2 linked regions of the Caenorhabditis elegans genome follow. The protein of the gene in region 1 purifies or fractionates together with the protein of each later gene. This does not show direct contact. Each region holds a gene or a part of one and is shown on either strand. Other genes may lie near its edges.

The links.
Region 2: the proteins of clec-209 (region 1) and gstk-2 fractionate together in Caenorhabditis elegans (co-fractionation; one large-scale study listed by BioGRID). This does not show direct contact.

What each region holds. Positions count from the first base shown.
Region 1 is NC_003283.11:2,349,627-2,353,699, forward strand, and holds clec-209 (C-type lectin domain-containing protein), read left to right. Parts: upstream 1-2,049; coding exon 2,050-2,135; intron 2,136-2,202; coding exon 2,203-2,318; intron 2,319-2,571; coding exon 2,572-2,808; intron 2,809-2,854; coding exon 2,855-3,306; downstream 3,307-4,073. Other genes in the region: irld-53 (Receptor L-domain domain-containing protein), read right to left, coding at 70-198, 241-515, 585-699; Y19D10A.8 (Major facilitator superfamily (MFS) profile domain-containing protein), read right to left, coding at 3,733-3,855, 3,903-4,019.
Region 2 is NC_003282.8:7,239,629-7,244,237, reverse strand, and holds gstk-2 (Glutathione s-transferase kappa 2), read left to right. Parts: upstream 1-1,967; 5' UTR 1,968-1,982; coding exon 1,983-2,133; intron 2,134-2,732; coding exon 2,733-3,112; intron 3,113-3,581; coding exon 3,582-3,728; 3' UTR 3,729-3,793; downstream 3,794-4,609. Other genes in the region: elo-3 (Putative fatty acid elongase 3), read right to left, coding at 4,342-4,455. UniProt on the Caenorhabditis elegans protein: Has roles in respiratory and lipid metabolism.

The sequences.
Region 1 (4,073 bases):
ACCTTTAAAAATGTTTTTTTTCATTTCGCATAATGTACATTGTGCTATCTTCCAATTTTTCAAGATTACCTTCAGGTTTGGAAGATTCAATAGTCTAACTGTGTTTCTCAGAAAATAAATATTGGAACAACCTATAGAGGTTAGATTAACAAGTCCCAAGTTTATCATATTGTGGTTGTCGCCCCACATAAACTGTGGCTGGAAAAAAATTTTGGTAATACATCGAGAAAAATCCAGTACCTCTATTATATCAACAGGCGGTTTAAGTCGACTTTTCGTGCTACACTCCACCGATTCCAGTGAAGCTAGGAACGTGCCACTTTTGAAGTCTGTCGACATTACTGCCAAGCTTCCAATTAAATGTTTCATATTTTGAAATGCATGGGATAGCTGATATTCGGACAAATTGGATCTTTCATCAATTAGGATATCTGCGCAAACAGTGCTGCAATTTGTTGGAAATAGATCCAGATTATAACTAGCGAGAGAAGATTCCGGAAAAATGCAATGCGGCTCTAAAAGATGTTTGTTTTAAGTTGGATTTATCTACACACTTATTTCAATTTCAATTATTCAGAACTCACCACAATTCTCCTCCAAAAATTTCATATAATGGTTCATTCCACCAAATACATCTAATTTATTGGAGTCCGAAACGAGTGATAACTTTAGAAAAATTAGTGAAATCAGTATTTTCATTTCAAAACTAGAAGCGAGCAAAGGAAATTTGAAAACGAAAGATGTATGAGCCAGAGGGAAACAGGTGAAAAAGTAATTTTATGGCATTTTGTGATTAGCTGAACAAAAAATAATAATTTCGATTTTGTGAGAACTTTATGGAAACGAAATTAGAAATTTTTCTAGTTTTAAGGACAGCTGTAAAAATTTTCATGTAGTTAGGGACCAATCAGCGCTGCGCAAAGGGCGTGGCCAATTTTTTTTAATTGGTCGGAGGTGTTTTAAAGGTGGACTACACTTGTTGGGGAAATTGCTTTAAAACATGATTATGGGATAACAATGACCGAATATCTTGATTAAAAAATTCAAAAAATTTGTCTAGTTTTTTAAAAATGATTTTTGGGAAATTGGAAAAATCTCAGTGATCCCCTAATTCCAATTCGAATTATCGCCAATTGAATTCGTTCGATGGAGCGCGCTTGCATTATTTTCATTCATTTTTTCTCATTATCTCTCTGATTTTCTTCACTTTTCGGGATTTTTTAATTGGAAAATGAAAGAAATGACAGAAAAAGTGAAACAATGAGAATGAATAAAATGAATCACGGTGGTTCAGTTGCTAGTTGGGTGCAAACGCGCTCCACCGAACAAACTTGCATAACTTGGCCAGGAAGTACAAAATCGAAAATTCATCACAAATAAAGATAGATAATTTCATTGCGGTCATTTCTTATATGCATAGCAAAACCGATTTTGTGATGGTTTTCGAGATAGTAGCCAATATAGGTTTCCAGACTGAGTATCATGAACCAATCCATCTAGTTTCTGTGCTACCATGGAATAAATAAAAATATTGCAAGCGCGCTCCATCGAACAAATTCAATTGGCGGTAATCCAAATAGGAATTAAGGGAAAACTGAGATTTTCCCAATTTTCAAAAAATCATATAAAATCTAGAAAAATGTTTTGAATTTTTTTATCATAATATTCGGTCATTGTGACCCCATAGGCGTGTTTTTAAGCAATTTCCCCACAGAGTGTAGCCCACCTTTTATCATTGCAGACGTTTTTTTCCATGAGTTTTTTTTGCAAAATATCAAAGTATCAAAAAATCAAAGTGGGTCAAAAATCAAATCAAAAATTATTTTTTAAAGTTTTTCTTTATAATCAAGTACTCACTTATCTGCTACAAAAAGCACACCATCTAGTCTGAAAAATCATCAATTTTCCTTAATAGTTTGTGCTCCGAAGGGTGTAACCCAACAAATCAACCTTACAAACTCCGCTTATCACACCTGACAGGCTGATAATATTTTTACATAAATAGATCAATGACTAGGAGAATGTGTATCTGGAAACAAGCTGGAAATCATGTTTCGTTTAGTGGTAGCTCTTTCGATTCTACAATTAGTCGCTGGGCAATGTGCCCATTATGAGGACAAGTTGATTGGAGATCTGTAAGTTTTTCTTAAGTTACATTTTGGAAAAAAAAAAGATTTAATTCTTAAATTTTCAAATTTTCAGATGTTACTCATTTTACACTGAAACCCGGAATTTCGACGGAGCCGAACGAGCTTGCTCGGGGAACAACCAAAATTTGGCAGTACTTCACAATACTCTACAAACTAACTTCTTAGCATGTGAGTTTTGAGGACACAAGTAGGCATAGGTAGGGCTGGAATAGCTCGGTCGGTAGTGGTGGGGACTGGAAGCCTAGATGTCAAGAGTTCAAGTCCTTCAATACACAACTGTATGATTGACCACAGTCCCCGGCCCAAACGTGGCCTGAACCAAAAGCCCAGTGTGAATACCGTACCTGGCTCCTAGATTCACATAGCGCTTGAGGAACTTAGCCTTTTATATTCTTTCCAAATACTTTAATTCCTTTTACAGCAATCGTTCGTAGCCAAACTGGCGCAACAAAGTTTTGGATCGGTTTAAGCCGTGCAACTCCGAGCTCTAGATTCCAATGGGACGACGGAACCACAATGTATTGGAGCAACTTCAATATGAATCATGCGAAGGATAACAATTATGTTGCCGAACATACGACTGACGGAAAATGGCAGACAATTGGCAAGCACCACGAGCTTCCTTTTGTATGCAGTTATGATCCGAAAAACTTTACTCGTGAGTAGAAGGTTTTTTCTGAAATAAGACAATCAGAGAGTTTTAGCAATTCCATCTGGTTCCGGGTCCACACCTGATTTCACAAATGGCCCAGCTTCGGGAGCCACTGACGAGCCGATCTCCGACGCTACCGGAGCCTATTCCACTGACTTGCCATTTTCTGATTCCCCAACTGGAGCTTCCGATCTACCATTCTTTGGATCTTCGGGAGCTACTGATTTCCCAGTCTCGGGTGGTCCATCTGATTCACCAATTTATCCAGCTTCGGGAGCCACTGACGAGCCGATCTCCGACGCTACCGGAGTCGCAAGTTCCGATGGACCATTGGCCTACTCCACCGACTTGCCATTCTCCGATTCTCCAACTGGAGCTTCCGATATGCCATTTTTTGGAACTTCTGACTACCCAGTCTCGGGTGGTCCATTTGGCACCCCAGATTTCCCAGTTTCGGACGGCCCATCTGGATCATCTGATTATCCAGTCTCCGCAGGTTTCTAATGATTTTACTGAATAAAGTTTCAAGCATTAATCACTCGTTTGTACAAGCTCAATGGACTCGAATTTTGTCGGCTGCACATTTTTTAACATGGAAACAAAACTGCTAGAAGTTCAGTCTAATTTCCTGATTAGAAATAGTGAAAAATCAGTAATGATGAAAGTTTTTAGACGTAACTCTTATCTAAATTGCGTGATAAGGAGGTTATCCAAATTGATGTTTGCATGACGGGAAACTACTGATTCGTCACTTTTCAGATTACAAAAAAAATCAAAAGTTGGGAAATGAAATAAAATTTAAATCAATGATCACTTTGTGAACATGATAAAGAGGCCAGAAATGTTTCCAGATTTTTTTTCAGAGCGTGAATCGAAGGTTGAAACTAGGCGAAAAGGTTTTTTTTTTTTTGACAATAAAAGTTTAAAAAATTAACATTTCACTGTTGGTTCTTGTTTTTTCGTATATCCCGCCGCATCGGACCTTGCCAAAAATGGGAATCCTGCGTTGCAGGCAACAATGAGTCCGCTGATAACCAGGAAAAATGTTTTCCACTGAAATTCTAGTGGTTTTTAAAGATTTTCAAACAGAGGCTAATTACCTGTTCGTTAGTATAATTCGGGCAGATTATGCTGACTAAAGTTGGGGACAGGAATTGTGAGGCGTAGGCAGTGAACGACATAACGGTCAGAGTGTAATGGACGTGTTGAAGACAGCGCTGAAAATTTATTTTCTAAAAAAATTATCATTTTTGAATAATTTGGAGCATAGC
Region 2 (4,609 bases), on another chromosome or scaffold:
AGACTGTCTAGATCGATATCTATTGGACATGCCACTCTTCTCTTCTTCTTATTTTTTATTTATTTCTGTTTCTTTGTTCTGATTGTTGATTTTGATAAGACACCTACGAGAATTGATACCGATCATTTTGTTGTTTGGTGTTGTTTCTACCAGGCAGTGAATTTTCAGTTTTGAAGGTTGAGTTGGTAGGCACTTTTTTCAACTTTTTTTCCTTGGCTTCAAAAAATATACTTATTACGCTCTTATTTTAAAGGTGTATATATCACGGAAAGAGAAACAGTCACGAGCATTTTATTTATTTATTTATTTACTTCAATACGAGCATTCAACTAGATTCTTTCAATTTGTTCTATTTCTTTACACTTTTATAACAAAAGGCATGTAAAAAATTTAAATTTGAATCACCGCGATGACAAATTCCTTTTTTTTACTTTTTTTTACTTAATTTTGCTTATTTATTTTTGCTTATTTTTGGACTTCTCAATTGTTGATTCAAATTTCATAGCCAATTTTTTTAAATTGAATTTCCTTGTTGGGCCAGTAAGATCAACTTAATGCAAAACCCAAATAAATGATACTAAAAATATTTATTTCTTCAAACTTTGAAACAATTTGCACTCTTTATGAACCAAAAGTCAAGAATGTGGCAAACATTTGCGAGTGGAAGGCAGAGAATTCGATAAGAAGAAAACAAAAATGAGTTCTAGATCTGAACTGTTAGTTTTCACATCATTATTGTTTTTTAAACTTTTCAGATATAGTTTAATTGGAAAACTTATCATAAAATGTAAAAGTTTTCCAATTAAATTTAAAAACAATATATTCCAGTTGTTTTTTCCAAAAGCCGGAACATTTTCGGAACAAATTATTCCAATCGGATTATTTTCTATTTCATTTTCTTTTTTTTTTCTCCGAAACGTGAACTTTATGAAATCCCAATTCCACAACCCAAAGTACATATTTAACCTCCAACAAACAACACAATTCTGTTCCCTCTTTTTCACCCGTTTGCACTTTATTTCTTTTCACTCACCTCGAGTCACGTGATCTCCTTCTAAGAACTGAATTTCAAAAACACAAAATGTTGTTTTCATCCGTTTCTATTTCAGCCCTTTATGTTTTTATTGAACGGTGAAAAGATCGGATCATTTTTACACTGGCTACAATTTTATTTTTTCTCATTTGTTCGTGTATGTCATATACCTGCCTGCCTGCGTGCCTTCTTAGCCCCTCGATTCTACATTCTAACATAAAATGAGCTGGGTGGTGTACACACATGATAAATTTACGTTTATCTCCCTTTATCATTTAAATTGTTTTGTTAAAAGTTCAATTAAGAAATGGCAGGTATTTTTGTGCGTATTTGGAATAGTCATAAAGCATTTAACCAAACTTCTTTCCTGAAAATATTGTTCATTGTATATTTTCATATCTTTTATCCAAAACAACTAAATGCTCAAAAATCGCACATCTGGTTATCACGTGCGGTTAGGAAAAATAGAAATCAAATATTTAGAGTACCCAAGTTTTTTTCCAAACAAAATCTATTTTTATCGTGGTCATTTGCAAACAATTCTACACTTTGTTCACTAGACTTGAGACCAACTGTTTTTTTTCTGTTTTTTGTCCGCTGATGCTCCAATTGCTCTACCACGTGTCTGTGCTCCTATCAACTCATTGGTACCTCCCTTGATGTTTACACAAATATCTTTTCTTTCTTCTCAACTCTATCATTATTGTCTGGCCAACGTGATTCGGCTGTTTTTTTTTTTCGTGCCTAATTATTTTAAAAAAAACTTTTCTACAAAATAAGAATTTTCAGAAATCTTAAAAGCGTCCCGAAGTAGTTCAAGTTGTTTTAGTACTGGAGCTCATTAAGGTTTAGAAAAATCATAAGCTTCTGTTTTTTTTTCGCTTTTTTGTCGAAAAATTTTAAAATAATTGCTGAATTTTCATGAATTTTGCAGACTTCAAGTTTCAAAATGCCGAACCGAAAAGTGGTCAAATTCTTCTTCGATGTCATTTCTCCGTACAGTTACTTTGGATTCGAAGGAATCACTCGTCATCGTTCCGTTTGGAAGACTCCAATTCAGATGAAACCATTCTTTTTTGCTGGTGTTGTCAGACATACTGGTGAGTTTTTGTATTTTTGTCTTGAAATTTCTCTAATATCCGTAAAAAAATGGAATTAGCTTTTTTAAAGTAAGGTTTTTAAACCATGACCCTCTAACAATTCCGTTTGAAATGTCAAAATAAAAGCTTTCAATTTACTTCTGGAAAAGGACATGCAAAACCTTAAGAAGCCTGTATGTTATTATTTTCTAAAAAATGCACCTCTATCTATTTATATCATAAGGTCGGCTACTTCTACTTCTTAAAATCTGCTTTAATCTGACGAAGGGCACTAGAATAGATAAATACACTTAAATAGTTCAACAATAGTTCAACATTATAATAGTTGAACATGACATATATTAACATAATAAGACAATCCAAAAATTTCAGGATTTTTCAAAATGATCAGTGAACGTTTTGATAAGTTGCCAAATGTCCCTAAAAGGACTATTTGAAAGCAATTTCGAGACATTTGGAAAAGTGATATTTGGTAATTTTATAAGTATAGGAGCATTGATAAATAACATAATTGTTTTGAAAATTTTTTTCGAATCGTGCTAATCATCAGAAAGTTGTTTGATATGTACCTTCTAAATCATATAACTGCAAGTTTTCAGAAAACCCCGGTCTCCCACTCCGTATTCCTATCAAAGAAAAGTACATGCACAAAGATTTGCTCTTCTCTGCCCAATATTGGGGAATTCCGTTCCGTCTTCCCAAGGACTACACAAATATGATGTTGAACACAAGTTCAATCGTTCCACAACGTATTCTTGTCGCTTCACAACTCCGTGATAATGTTTTGATGGAAGACGTTGCTCGTGGACTCTGGCATCGATTTTATGCATACGGAAAACCAATTTTCACAAAAAGTCAAGTTGCCGAAGTTTTGAGAGATTTGCATGTAAAAGATGTCGATGAGTTGGTGATGATGAGTGATTCGGCAGAAGTTAAGAACATTTTAAGAGAAAACACAGATGAAGCCATCGGGAATGGAGTAGGTCATTTATTATAGGAACCCAGAAAAACACGGAATCGACGAGAAAACACGCTCCACAACCAATTTAAAACGGTCCGCCCCCTAACGATGGGTCTCGTTAGGTATTTTCCGTTAAACTTGAACGTTTTTGATTAGGCTCGACAATTTTCTAGAATTAGTCTTTCTGTTATATTTTTCGAAGTGTTTAATGATTTCAACATCGAAATGATGTCTAAGAAAATTATGTGAATTTAGGGCGTTTTCACTTATCATAATAATTTTATTTCATCTATTTCAACCGAAAAAACATCAAAAACTACGAAAAATATAACAAAATAGACGACGAACGCAAAATTCCTAACGAGACCCATGGTTTAGGGGCGGAGCATTTTCAGTTGGCCCCGGAGCGCGCTTGCGCGTCGTTTTAAAATGTTTTTTTGCTGTTTTATAATATTCTCAATTGGGAATTAAAATTAATTTTTTTCAGTGTTTCGGAGCTCCGTGGATGCATATCACTGATGGTCACGGAAAAGTACTTCAAACAGTTTTCGGATCGGATCGCCTTCCACAGGTGGCCGATTTTCTTGCCGAGCCATTCAAGGGTCCAATGAGAGAGAAGAAGCCGAACGCATAAATTGTCAGATTAGCATTCTAAAAAGTGTCTAGAATTTTATCTGAGAAAGAATAACGATTAAAATTAATTCTTTCTTTTGTGTTGGCAAGAGAAATACAGAAAACGATGGAAAAAATGTGGAAACAAAAAGACTACTAATCTATTTCACACGAGTTTCAATTTGTTGCGGCAATTACAGAAAAAAAACGGAGCAAAAAAGAAAGAGCATAAGCTAACGAAAACTTGGGGTTGGTTGGGGGGACGAAGGGTGAGAGATCTGAGTATGTGTTAGTTTTGCGTGGCCTCTGATGATTAGCCGAATATAAATAAGGGAAAGCGTAAAGGTTTGATAAAAAGTAAAAGAGAAATTTCAAGAAACGAAAAATAATATTACCGGTACAGAGAGTGTAGATAGTTAGAGAGTGACAGACATCCGGGACCCAATGGGGCGGGGCGCGCGGAAGAGACGATTTGTGTCGATTTACGAAATTTTCCTCGTTGTCATTATTTCGTAAATCGACACAAATCGTCTCTTCCGCGCGCCCCGCCCCATTAGGTCCCGGATGTCTGTCACTCTCTAACTATCTACACTCTCTGTACCGGTAATAGAGAACAAATAACAATCTGATATTTTCTAATCAGCTTTTTGAACTTTTCTTCGTGCGGCGGCGGACCTCGTTGTGATGGATGGCTCAGCGATGTTAGCATTGATATCTTCTTTTGGCTCCAGAATTTCGAAATCAACAGGCTGAAAAACGAATTATTTTTTTCCAAAGATTTTTTAAAAATATGCTCATAAGTCAGAATTTTCCAAGTTTCCCAGCAAGGGTAACGGGTTTTCCATTTTTTACTGAAATCTAACAATCGAAATGTTTTTTCGATTTTTCTGATATTTCGAAAAA